Saccharomyces cerevisiae S288C: one gene and its partners. The protein of the gene in region 1 interacts with the protein of each later gene in a biochemical or structural test. Each region holds a gene or a part of one and is shown in the gene's direction. Other genes may lie near its edges.

Region 1 (4,968 bases):
TCTTGGTTTTTCGGTGAGGCTAAGTGCCTTCCCAACTTCTGGATATGTTCTGTAGATCTCAGCAGCATCAATGTGAATAATGCCAGGTAACTTCAGAGCATAAACAATCTGTTCGACCAAACTGTTCGAAAAGGTAGCATCCGTTTCTTCGTTTTTATACCATCTAGTACCTGTCCCAATGATGGCGATTGCGGGGATTTTATTTCCATTATTCAAGGTAAAGAACTGTTGGTGAAATGACATCTGTAAAAGTGTTGTTAACTGACCTCCGTTTCTTTAGGGTAACACAACCGTTTACATGTGTATCCATATCCACGTAGTATCCGACTATCAATATATCCGTATATATATATATATATATATGGGATGAGCGTATGTGAGTGTTTTCGTAGATATTCAAAATACGAGTAAAGGAGATCCTAGGTGTGGATTAGTAAGGGGAGTGTGGCAACTTCCTTTTTCCGGTTAATTCTCCGCGCTTTCGTTAGACTATTTTGCAAGGACCCAAATAGGAGACGCATGGAGGCTTCTACAAAACAGCGTGCCGTTTTGATGGCATGAGCAGGGGGCGCAAAGGAAACACCGGTAAATCGCGCAAGACCTTGTTGGCCACGTAGCCTCAAAGGTTGAATTGACACTTGTCTACAGAACTTGAAAAGTACAAAAGGAGGTCACATAAAACAGTAAGCTTGAGAAGCTTTAAGATATGGTGCGAATCGTTACAGAATATTCCTTGCAGAAATAATGGCGGGTCCGTTCTCTTCTGAAGAAGTTACCGCCCTACTGAAGCATTGCTGTACGATCGTGTAATGTGATGTGTGTTCGACTGGAAAGCGGAGAACATTATGAAGTAAAAGGACAATCAGCACGCCTTCCAGACTTTTAAGAAACATTGATGGAGCCATTGATATCGGCACCGTACCTAACAACAACAAAAATGTCTGCTCCTGCTACGCTTGATGCTGCCTGTATTTTTTGCAAGATTATTAAAAGTATGTCACATTACTAATAAAGAGCTTACACTCACACCAATGATGGCGATAGTCTCTATGTAGTACATATACATAAAGCAGAATACTAACAATCGATCCGCTATGCAACAGGCGAAATTCCATCCTTCAAATTGATTGAAACAAAGTACTCGTATGCTTTCTTGGACATCCAACCTACTGCTGAAGGTCATGCTTTAATCATTCCTAAGTACCATGGTGCGAAGTTGCATGACATCCCGGACGAATTCCTTACCGATGCTATGCCGATTGCCAAGAGACTGGCCAAGGCAATGAAGTTGGACACTTATAATGTGTTGCAGAATAATGGTAAAATTGCGCATCAAGAAGTCGACCACGTCCACTTCCATTTGATTCCTAAGAGAGATGAGAAAAGTGGTTTGATTGTAGGGTGGCCAGCCCAAGAAACGGACTTCGATAAGTTGGGCAAGCTACACAAGGAATTGCTTGCCAAACTAGAAGGCTCCGATTAGAGTAATGCATGCTATGATTTCTTTTAGCGTTTTCTTTTCATATTTAAGTTTATACATATGGGTGTGTTTGCTTCCATTCATATCCACTCTATAATGCTAACAATCATGTTACTAGCCATCGTTGCTATCGATACCTTATGAACAGCTCTAACTCCTTCCTTTTTAACCTACCGCCTTTTGCGCACTACCCGGCAACCCCTCGAATGTGAATTCGGTGGCAAAAAAGGACATATATCAGGGCCGTGTATTTAAGAGATCCGCAGTTGATGTAGTCAATTAATCTAGTTCTATTAAGATTTGACTCAACGCCATTGACTCGATAACTGGCTCAACTACAAGACAGATATACAAATCATGGGTGAAGAACATAAACCACTTTTGGACGCCTCGGGTGTCGACCCTCGTGAGGAGGATAAAACCGCCACCGCCATTTTAAGAAGAAAGAAGAAGGACAACATGCTTTTGGTGGACGATGCTATCAATGATGACAATTCTGTCATTGCTATTAATTCTAACACCATGGACAAATTGGAATTGTTCCGTGGTGACACCGTTCTCGTTAAGGGCAAGAAGAGAAAAGATACTGTCTTAATTGTGTTGATCGATGACGAATTAGAAGACGGAGCATGCAGGATAAACCGTGTAGTTCGTAACAATTTACGTATTAGGCTGGGTGATTTAGTTACAATTCATCCTTGCCCCGATATCAAATACGCTACTAGAATTTCTGTGTTACCAATTGCTGATACGATCGAAGGTATAACTGGTAATCTTTTCGATGTTTTTTTGAAGCCTTATTTTGTGGAAGCCTACAGACCAGTGAGGAAAGGCGACCATTTTGTTGTCAGAGGCGGTATGAGACAAGTCGAATTCAAGGTTGTGGATGTCGAACCTGAAGAATATGCCGTCGTTGCTCAGGATACTATTATTCACTGGGAAGGTGAGCCAATCAACAGGGAAGATGAAGAAAATAATATGAATGAGGTGGGTTACGATGATATTGGTGGTTGTCGTAAGCAAATGGCTCAAATTAGGGAAATGGTTGAACTACCATTGAGACATCCTCAGTTGTTCAAGGCTATCGGTATCAAGCCACCAAGAGGTGTTTTGATGTATGGTCCCCCTGGTACTGGTAAAACCTTGATGGCAAGAGCTGTTGCTAATGAGACCGGTGCCTTTTTTTTCTTAATTAATGGTCCAGAAGTCATGTCAAAAATGGCTGGTGAATCAGAGTCTAACTTAAGAAAGGCCTTTGAAGAAGCCGAAAAGAACGCTCCAGCCATCATTTTTATCGATGAAATCGATTCTATAGCTCCAAAGAGAGACAAGACTAATGGTGAAGTTGAGAGAAGAGTTGTCTCTCAATTGTTAACTTTAATGGATGGTATGAAGGCAAGATCTAATGTTGTTGTCATTGCTGCTACCAATAGACCAAATTCGATTGATCCCGCTTTAAGAAGATTTGGTAGATTCGATCGTGAAGTCGACATTGGTATCCCAGATGCTACAGGTAGACTTGAAGTTCTACGTATTCACACCAAGAACATGAAGTTGGCTGATGATGTTGATTTGGAAGCATTGGCTGCTGAAACACACGGTTACGTGGGTGCTGATATTGCCTCTTTGTGTTCTGAAGCTGCCATGCAACAGATCCGTGAAAAAATGGACTTGATAGATTTAGATGAAGATGAAATTGATGCAGAGGTGCTCGATTCTTTAGGAGTCACCATGGACAACTTCAGATTCGCATTGGGCAATTCAAACCCATCTGCATTGCGTGAAACCGTTGTTGAAAGTGTCAATGTTACTTGGGATGACGTTGGTGGCCTAGATGAAATCAAGGAGGAATTGAAGGAAACTGTAGAATACCCAGTCTTACATCCAGACCAATACACAAAGTTTGGGTTATCACCATCAAAGGGTGTGTTGTTCTACGGTCCACCAGGTACAGGTAAAACTTTGTTAGCAAAAGCTGTAGCTACTGAGGTTTCTGCCAACTTTATCTCAGTCAAAGGTCCAGAATTATTGAGTATGTGGTATGGTGAATCGGAATCTAACATCCGTGATATTTTTGATAAGGCAAGAGCAGCTGCACCAACCGTCGTTTTTCTAGATGAATTAGACTCCATTGCCAAGGCAAGAGGTGGTTCCTTGGGTGATGCTGGTGGTGCTTCGGATAGAGTCGTCAACCAACTATTAACAGAAATGGATGGTATGAATGCTAAGAAAAATGTGTTCGTGATTGGTGCCACCAATAGGCCAGATCAAATTGATCCTGCTATTTTAAGACCTGGCAGATTGGATCAATTAATTTATGTTCCATTGCCAGATGAAAACGCTAGATTATCTATTCTAAATGCTCAATTAAGGAAAACACCACTAGAACCAGGGCTAGAGTTAACTGCGATTGCCAAGGCCACTCAAGGTTTCTCTGGTGCTGATTTACTCTATATTGTGCAGAGGGCTGCTAAATACGCTATCAAGGATTCTATCGAAGCTCACAGACAACACGAAGCTGAAAAGGAAGTGAAAGTAGAAGGTGAAGACGTGGAAATGACAGATGAGGGAGCAAAGGCTGAACAAGAACCAGAAGTAGATCCTGTTCCATATATTACAAAGGAGCATTTCGCAGAAGCTATGAAGACCGCTAAACGTTCTGTTTCAGATGCTGAATTGCGTCGTTATGAAGCATACTCACAGCAAATGAAAGCATCTAGAGGTCAATTCAGTAATTTCAACTTTAATGACGCTCCATTAGGTACTACGGCTACGGACAATGCTAACAGTAATAATAGTGCTCCAAGTGGAGCAGGTGCTGCATTTGGTTCTAATGCGGAGGAAGATGATGATTTGTATAGTTAGTTATATGCCAGGTATATTTTTATTTTAAATCGTAAATTCAAGTCATTTCTATAAAAAAAATCGTCAATTTTAACTCAATATTTTATGGCCCTTTTTATATTTATTTTCAAATTTGTCAAAAAAAGGAGAGCTAAATCATTAGAAAAAGAATGCATTATGGTATATTTATGTATATTAATATGTAAAATAAGAAAAAAGGGAGGCTGTAGGACCTCGGTCGTAAGAACATTTACCTGTGTTCTTCCGCCTTTTCCGAAAGTGCCATGAAGAAACGCAGGCCAGGCATAATTTCGACATTTAAAATCACGATTTGAAGTAATTTGACCAATTCGATTTCTTTACTTTTGTATCTTCTTTTATTATCTGTTTGTTTAACCCAGTTTTCAAGATCACAGGGCGCGCTTTACTAAAATTAAAAGGCTTAATTGTCGGTATTGGCCTATTTTCCTTGTTATCGTGTTTGGAGTCTATGTTGTATGTTCGCGGAGAAAACTTGTCGCTAATGTTATTGGATTCGTGTAGTTCGGGCAAAGTTCGTATTCTGTTACTATAATTGGATAAATTCGATCTTCTAGATTCCAACGTGGAGAGGGTCGAAGTGGAAGCTAAAGATGGGATAGACA
Region 2 (4,179 bases), on another chromosome or scaffold:
AATCTTCGTTAGATAAACCTAATTTCTCCAGGTGATCAATTAACAATTTCACTCTATGCCATTGCATCTTACGACATTCATGGTGGAAGTCAAAATACACGTAGTGAATCTTCGGATCGTTTAGCGCGTGCACGACTGATTCATAGCCCTCTTTCACGGGTAGTTCGTGGCCCTTTTGGTTGACTAGGTTAACCAAGTAGTTGTCGCCATATAACTCCTTTTGCTGGTCAAAATGCTTTTTTGTCGCATCTAATGAGTTTTCTCCAAGAACAAGATTTGGCTTGTACTTCAAGTTGTTGATTTCAGCCCAGTATATTGGCACAGATCCTCTTGTCTGTAAGAAGGAGAAAACGTGTATTTTTTCACTCTCTGGATTCTCAGCGAGTAAAATTTGCTCAGTTTCATTGAAATTGCCAACGTTACCGTCTTTGTCAACACCACGACGGAAGTATCTTGTGCCCGCCCTAAATATACTACGTCTGGTAATCAAACCAAGAACGATAGGGGTGGCATTCAAAACGGCGTCCACTGTCTTGGCATACCCATAGATAACAGGTTGTATAAAGGAGTCAATTCTAGGATCTTGATGAGCAAAGTTTCTCAAATCTTCAGTTAAGTAATGGTTCCAAAAGAATCGTTCATCAGCGGTTTTCCAGGAGGCTGCAGGACCAACCTTTTCATTTCTTTGTAAGGAATTTGTTAAATCATATGTGTATGAAAAATAAAAGGTGGAATTTTTCAAATGCAACTCCAGTAGCTTGATATATTCGGCTTCTTCAGAATCGATTCTCGAGTTAAACTTGGTAGATACGATAGAATGTTGCAACACTCTATAGAAAACGTGGCCATTGAATCTACCGGTCTCTTCCACAGTATTTGCGATAATGGCATACCTGTTCAACTTTAGCTTAATGAACCCCATCAAGGACGCAATCTTTACTACTTCACCTTGCACAGGAAATTCCTCTGCTCCAAGGACCCGAACACCTTGATCTTGATTGGCCAAGTGAATAACAGCATCGTTAGTTCCTTTGCCCTCAGCAAGCTTGAAGAAGATACCGTCCGCATTTTGAACGTACACTATTGGACCTGTCATATCTAGACGAGAAAATATACGTGTATATAAATATTATCGTTACTGTTATAGGGATATGGTTTCTAATCCTTTCTCCTATTTCCTTATCTAAACCTGTGGTATTTTTCCCTTGCCTTTTCAACTTCAATAAGCTGGAATTAAATTTGTAGTGTGGGTAAGCAGTAGTGCAGCAATGCGTGCGTGTGCAAGCTCTTGAATATTGAAGGTCTACAGGTTACTAAAACAATAGGAGCGAGGCTTGGACGTCGAGAAAGTTGCTGACCTTGGCATTTCCTTTGCGAGTTTTTCAAAATTTTTCACACTCGTTCAGGACCACGAAAAATAAATCATATGAGATTTTAGTACGCTGATAATAAGGGAAGGCCACTGTCTTGGCTTATTTTATATATATATATTCATGTGTGATAGTAAGGTGTAGAGCAGCAGATTTGGAGTATGGGATATCAATTGAGTGCAACACTTAAAGGGCACGATCAGGACGTCAGGGATGTGGTAGCTGTGGATGATTCAAAGGTTGCTAGTGTTTCGAGGGATGGAACAGTTCGCTTGTGGTCTAAAGATGACCAATGGCTCGGTACGGTAGTTTATACAGGACAAGGATTTTTAAATAGTGTGTGTTATGATTCCGAGAAGGAGTTGTTGCTTTTTGGAGGTAAGGATACTATGATCAACGGTGTGCCCTTGTTTGCCACCTCAGGAGAGGATCCCTTGTATACCTTGATTGGCCACCAAGGGAACGTTTGTAGTTTATCCTTCCAAGATGGTGTTGTGATAAGCGGTAGTTGGGACAAAACCGCAAAGGTTTGGAAAGAAGGATCGTTGGTTTACAATTTGCAAGCACACAATGCCTCTGTATGGGATGCCAAAGTCGTATCCTTCTCAGAAAATAAATTCTTGACAGCTTCCGCCGATAAGACGATTAAACTGTGGCAAAACGATAAAGTGATCAAAACTTTCAGTGGGATTCACAATGATGTAGTAAGACATTTAGCTGTGGTGGATGATGGCCATTTTATCAGTTGTTCAAACGATGGCCTCATCAAGTTGGTTGATATGCATACAGGTGACGTACTAAGAACATATGAAGGCCATGAAAGCTTTGTTTATTGCATTAAACTGCTGCCCAATGGAGATATTGTAAGCTGCGGCGAAGACCGAACAGTCCGTATATGGTCAAAGGAAAATGGTTCGTTAAAGCAGGTAATTACACTTCCTGCCATCTCTATTTGGTCCGTTGATTGTATGTCTAATGGTGATATTATTGTGGGAAGTAGTGATAATCTTGTGAGAATATTTTCGCAAGAGAAGTCAAGATGGGCTTCCGAGGATGAAATAAATGAACTATCTACGCAAGTGGAAAAATCCACTATAAGTTCCAAGACAATAGAATTTGATGAGTCTAAACTATCACCTTATGAAATTTTACAATCGCCGGGGCGCAAAGAGGGTCAAATTGTGGTAGTCAAATCACCTCAAGGTACTATAGAAGCTCATCAATTTTCAAATTCTTCATGGAAAAAGGTTGGTGATGTTGTCGGTGCAGGTGCTACTGGAAACGACAAAAAAATAGAATTCGAGGGTAAAACGTATGACTACGTATTTGATGTGGATATTGAAGATGGAAAACCTCCCTTGAAATTGCCGATTAATGTCAGCGACAACCCATATACAGCAGCCGACAATTTTTTGGCTCGTTATGAACTGCCAATGAGTTATAGGGATCAAGTAGTACAGTTCATACTGAAGAACACTAATGGCATATCGCTAGACCAGCCCAACGATAATGCATCATCTTCTGCAGTATCACCTTCAAAAACGAGCGTAATGAAGGTTCTTCCTGTCAAGCAGTATCTTATCATGGAAAATTATAACCCAGATACTATTTTCAATGGAATAGTAAAAATAAATTCAAATGAGAAGACCTTTGATGATGAAATTCTGGCGCAAATTGGTGGCGCACTACATGACATAGATGAAAGCTGGGAGTTGCTACTTTCATTTGCTAACACTATAAGATCTAACTGGGAAATTAAGACTCCTGCATACGACATAGTACGATTGATTGTAAAAAAATTACCTTATTCTTCAGATATAAAAGATTACATCGAAGAAGGCTTGGGCAATAAGAATATCACTCTAACCATGTTAACTGTGCGTATTTTGGTAAATTGCTTCAATAATGAAAACTGGGGTGTGAAATTACTGGAATCAAATCAAGTTTATAAATCAATTTTTGAGACTATAGATACTGAATTTTCTCAGGCATCTGCTAAACAGTCACAGAATTTGGCTATTGCAGTTTCCACACTAATTTTCAACTATTCAGCTCTCGTCACGAAAGGGAACTCTGATTTAGAACTTTTGCCTATCGTAGCTGACGCCATCAACACCAAGTATGGGCCATTGGAAGAGTATCAAGAATGCGAAGAAGCCGCATATAGGCTAACCGTAGCTTACGGAAATTTGGCTACTGTTGAACCTACATTAAGACAATTTGCCAACTCCGTAACTTGGCTTGCAAACATCAAAAGGAGCTATGGGAACGTGCCAAGGTTTAAGGATATTTTCGACGATCTCTCCTAATACTTTTACAGCAATCATATAAAACACATAATGTCTAGATAGCAAATAATCTTTAAAATTCTTTCTGCCCTATTGAAAATTATGACAAACTATCACGGTCATTTTCTGTCTAACTCGGCAAGAAATTATCATCGTGAAATGAAAAAGGTTACATACAATAAGGTTATTTTGAGTACAGACTGATAAATAGATGGAAAAGACTAAAAAACTGAAACGATAAGCGTCTAGTACCTTTTCCATTAGACGATTCAATACTGCATTTTGCAATGGACAAAGCATTTGACGAAATTATTGGAAATAGTCACACAGACAGCTCATCTAATCATAAGGTAACGAGATACCGCAGAAGGGATTTAAGAAATGAATTAGGACCTAGACTGGGATTTGCGCCTTCGGATGCTGCATCAAGGTCGAAAGATCGCCTTTATAGAGAGAGGGAAGAGCCTCCTTTGCCTAAGAGAATTAGAATATCCAAAATCCCACTAGACGTTTCTGACTAC
Region 3 (3,143 bases), on another chromosome or scaffold:
TAGTAGATAATGCGACGTTGATACAAAAGGAGGGAAGTATATCGAGTGGACCACCATCGTCTAATAACGGTACTATTGGAGGTGGTAGTACAAGTTCAACGCCAGTGGGGAACCACAGCTCTTCGTCGTCCAGTTTGTATACTGAATCACCCATTAGATAAATAGACAACCTGTACTTTTTTATATTTTTTTAGGGAAAGAGAAGGGTCTCTTATATTTAACGCTTATTATGTGATTTCTCGAAATGTCAAGTGTTACAGCCATATGGCTGACTGTGTTTACGTTAATTAGTTATATATAAACGATAAGCCATTCTGATGTTATCTTCTTGTACTTCTAATTAATAATATTTACTCGTCAGAATTTCGACTTTAATGAGAATATAGATATCTTCCTAGTTTTCCAAACATTAGAGAACCAAGGAAATAAAAATCCATGAAATATAAAAATTGGGAACCGTCGATAATATCTTTGTAGCAAGAGATACAACAACCCACCCCAATGCAGATGCAGCTCATTAACATGGATATTGAGCCGTCAAAAAACAACCACAGTATAATATTCAGAAGCCCCCATGCCCCTGCCGCCTGCAAAGAGGAGTTCCACTGTATTTTCCTGATCCCAAATGTGACTCCCAACATGGCATTGATACTTCTAATAACAGAGGTCAAACTGTCATGGTGGACAGAGCTCTTAACAACCTCTGTTTGAAAAATATTATCCAGAATTGGTACAACAGAACCAAATAACAGTCCTTCAACACCGTAGCCTAACCAGTTTGGCAGAACCCCATTGGATAGCCAGTTACAAAGTTTGACACCCAGTAGAAGGGGTCTCGATGCAAAATCTGGATGTAAGAGATGATTATCGTGCAAGTTTCTGGACAGTTCATGATATGCGAAACCGCTCAATGACAAAATTAATACAGCTTGCAGGTAATGAAGAATATTTTGACGAGTTTGTCTGGTTCTTGACGGAAAGTTTTCGTGAATGGATGATGCTGATAAAATCCTTTCCAAATTATTAGAAGATACTGTGTTCCTTGGCAGCGAGCCGCCAACCTTATGGGCCAAGTAAAAAGTCGAATCAATAGTTTGATCTCTACTATATTTGGTAGAATCTATAGAGACAGAGCGTTTCAATTCTTCGTAAATTTCGTTATCTTCCGATCTCACGACGTCATCATCATATAATGAATAAAGCTGCGGTTTAGTCAGAGAGCAGATTGATTCGGTGCTCTTCTTTGGATCCGGTTCTCCTCTATTGGCCATTCTGTATGCTGTTTTCTTTGAGAAATACTTTGTCGTTTATCTTCGTCCTTGTCTTCTTTTTGGTCCTTTGTGTTTGAGTGCTTTCCAAACTTTTTCTTTACCTTTTGCACGCCAACTACTATGCCCTTTATTGCAAATAAAATAGGTACTACAATAAGCCCTATCATCAATGTTGAGCTGTCAACTAGAAGTTTAAGGAAAAGAACATCTCGAAGTTTAGTAATTTCCTTGCTTTCATATTTTAAATGTCTAGCTAATTTCGTATCTACCCTTTATCTCATGCCGATAAAAAGAAAAGTTCCCCCCTCGTGGCCAGCGACGTTCGTATATACATAAAACTGCCTCACCCTCCTTTCGGTGGCAAAAGCATGTTCTACAAATGAGTATAAAGATGTAATAAGAGCTTGTACAAGCAAGGACTCGAGCTAGGGCGGAAGTGTGACAACAGTGAGCTATAGGCACATTGTAGTGTACATCTACTGCAAGAGCTTGCATTAATTTTGATATAAAAAAAAGGACCATCAACTAATTTTTGCTATATTTAAGAATGTCGGCGGCTATCGAAAAAGAAACCGGAATGTTGGATGTAGGAAAGCACTGTGCATATTGTAGACAACTAGACTTCCTACCTTTCCATTGTTCGTTTTGCAATGAAGATTTCTGCTCGAACCATAGACTTAAGGAAGATCACCACTGTAGGTGGTTGCTAGAGCATGAAGAAGTTCATAAAACTGAAAAAAGTCCTAGCAAAAGCCGGGATGGCTCAAGTTCTAACGATGAAGCATATTTCAAGAGTCTGTTACCTGAGAGGGCCAGTGTTAGAATCCAGAGAGTAAGTGAAACAAGAGAGCCTTTGAGAGGTTCTAACACTGCCAAAGTGAGCTCTACTTTGAACTCAAAGACATTAGACAAAATATTTAAGTTCTTCCAAAGGAATGAGAAAAGAAAGAGCAATAACAAATCAAAAAAGAATTTCGGTTCCTCGTCGAATAAGATAATTCAATTGGCTAATCTCAAGAAAATTGCTAAAGGTGACCCCAAGATTCCTATGCAAAATAGGATTTACATTTGGTGTTACTTGGTGGATGGTGATGAGACGGATATAGCCAAGGAGGATACAAGAATGCCATTATACATTAACAAAATGTGGCCTGTGGGTAGGGCCATGGACTATTTGTCTATCCAGCTAAACGTGAAATCTAGCACACTAACTAATTCAAGTTCTAATGACAAATTTCAACTATGCAAATTGAAAGAGGGTAAACAAGTTTCATTTTATAATATTGGCGCTTCCTTAAGAGTCACTAATGAGATCAAAGATCTTGATACTCTGTATTTAGTACACAATAACGCCGACGAAAAATCTAATTAAGAAGGACACTATAAATAACAAACAATCGCGCGGAACGTCAAGCGTATATACTATATAAAAAGAAAACAAAAAAAATCAATAACCCATTAAAGATACATAATCAATAAAAAACGATATTAAAAAGCACGTAAAGTACTTAATATTTTTTTAATAATAGACATTTTCGCCCTTACTTTTTAAATAAAAAACATAAAAAAATATCAAATGTACATCAAAATCATAATACTAGAACAAAATGTGAAGATCACTGGACGGTGGTGGGAATGATTACAAAAAACCTCCTCCGTTTTCTATTCTAACAGCATCCTAGCTTACTGAAAAAACCTTTCGATGATTTGTTACTATTTCTATCTTGCGCTGCGTTTTTAGCGTTTTGTTCGTCGTTCGCCGTTGGTTGCGCATTATATGGATACTTGTTAGTTTGACCATTGGCACCTGTATTGGCAAACTGTTTGGATTTCTGTTGCATTTGCTTTTGTTGTTGCTGAGCATATTTTTGT

The links.
Region 2: the proteins of CDC48 (region 1) and DOA1 form a complex in vitro, tested with the Saccharomyces cerevisiae proteins (4 studies listed by BioGRID, with this or other methods).
Region 3: the proteins of CDC48 (region 1) and CUZ1 form a complex in vitro, tested with the Saccharomyces cerevisiae proteins (3 studies listed by BioGRID).

Annotation. Positions count from the first base shown.
Region 1 is NC_001136.10:235,534-240,501, reverse strand, and holds CDC48 (AAA family ATPase CDC48), read left to right. Parts: upstream 1-1,837; coding exon 1,838-4,345; downstream 4,346-4,968. Other genes in the region: YDL124W (aldo-keto reductase superfamily protein), read right to left, coding at 1-243; HNT1 (adenosine 5'-monophosphoramidase), read left to right, coding at 896-992, 1,104-1,483; cyclin PCL2, read right to left, coding at 4,649-4,968. UniProt on the Saccharomyces cerevisiae protein: ATP-dependent chaperone which probably uses the energy provided by ATP hydrolysis to generate mechanical force to unfold substrate proteins, disassemble protein complexes, and disaggregate protein aggregates.
Region 2 is NC_001143.9:31,460-35,638, reverse strand, and holds DOA1 (Doa1p), read left to right. Parts: upstream 1-1,531; coding exon 1,532-3,679; downstream 3,680-4,179. Other genes in the region: phosphatidylinositol-3-phosphatase SAC1, read right to left, coding at 1-1,096; YRA2 (Yra2p), read left to right, coding at 3,946-4,179. UniProt on the Saccharomyces cerevisiae protein: Ubiquitin-binding protein involved in protein ubiquitination, sorting and degradation. Acts as a ubiquitinated substrate-recruiting adapter for chaperone ATPase CDC48 by binding mono- or polyubiquitin chains.
Region 3 is NC_001146.8:340,698-343,840, forward strand, and holds CUZ1 (Cuz1p), read left to right. Parts: upstream 1-1,818; coding exon 1,819-2,643; downstream 2,644-3,143. Other genes in the region: IGO1 (phosphatase regulator), read left to right, coding at 1-161; NSG2 (Nsg2p), read right to left, coding at 372-1,271; YNL155C-A (uncharacterized protein), read right to left, coding at 1,214-1,438; serine/threonine protein kinase YCK2, read right to left, coding at 2,939-3,143. UniProt on the Saccharomyces cerevisiae protein: Promotes efficient arsenite-induced clearance of stress granules (SGs). May have a role in the ubiquitin-proteasome system (UPS) protecting cells from metalloid-induced proteotoxicity.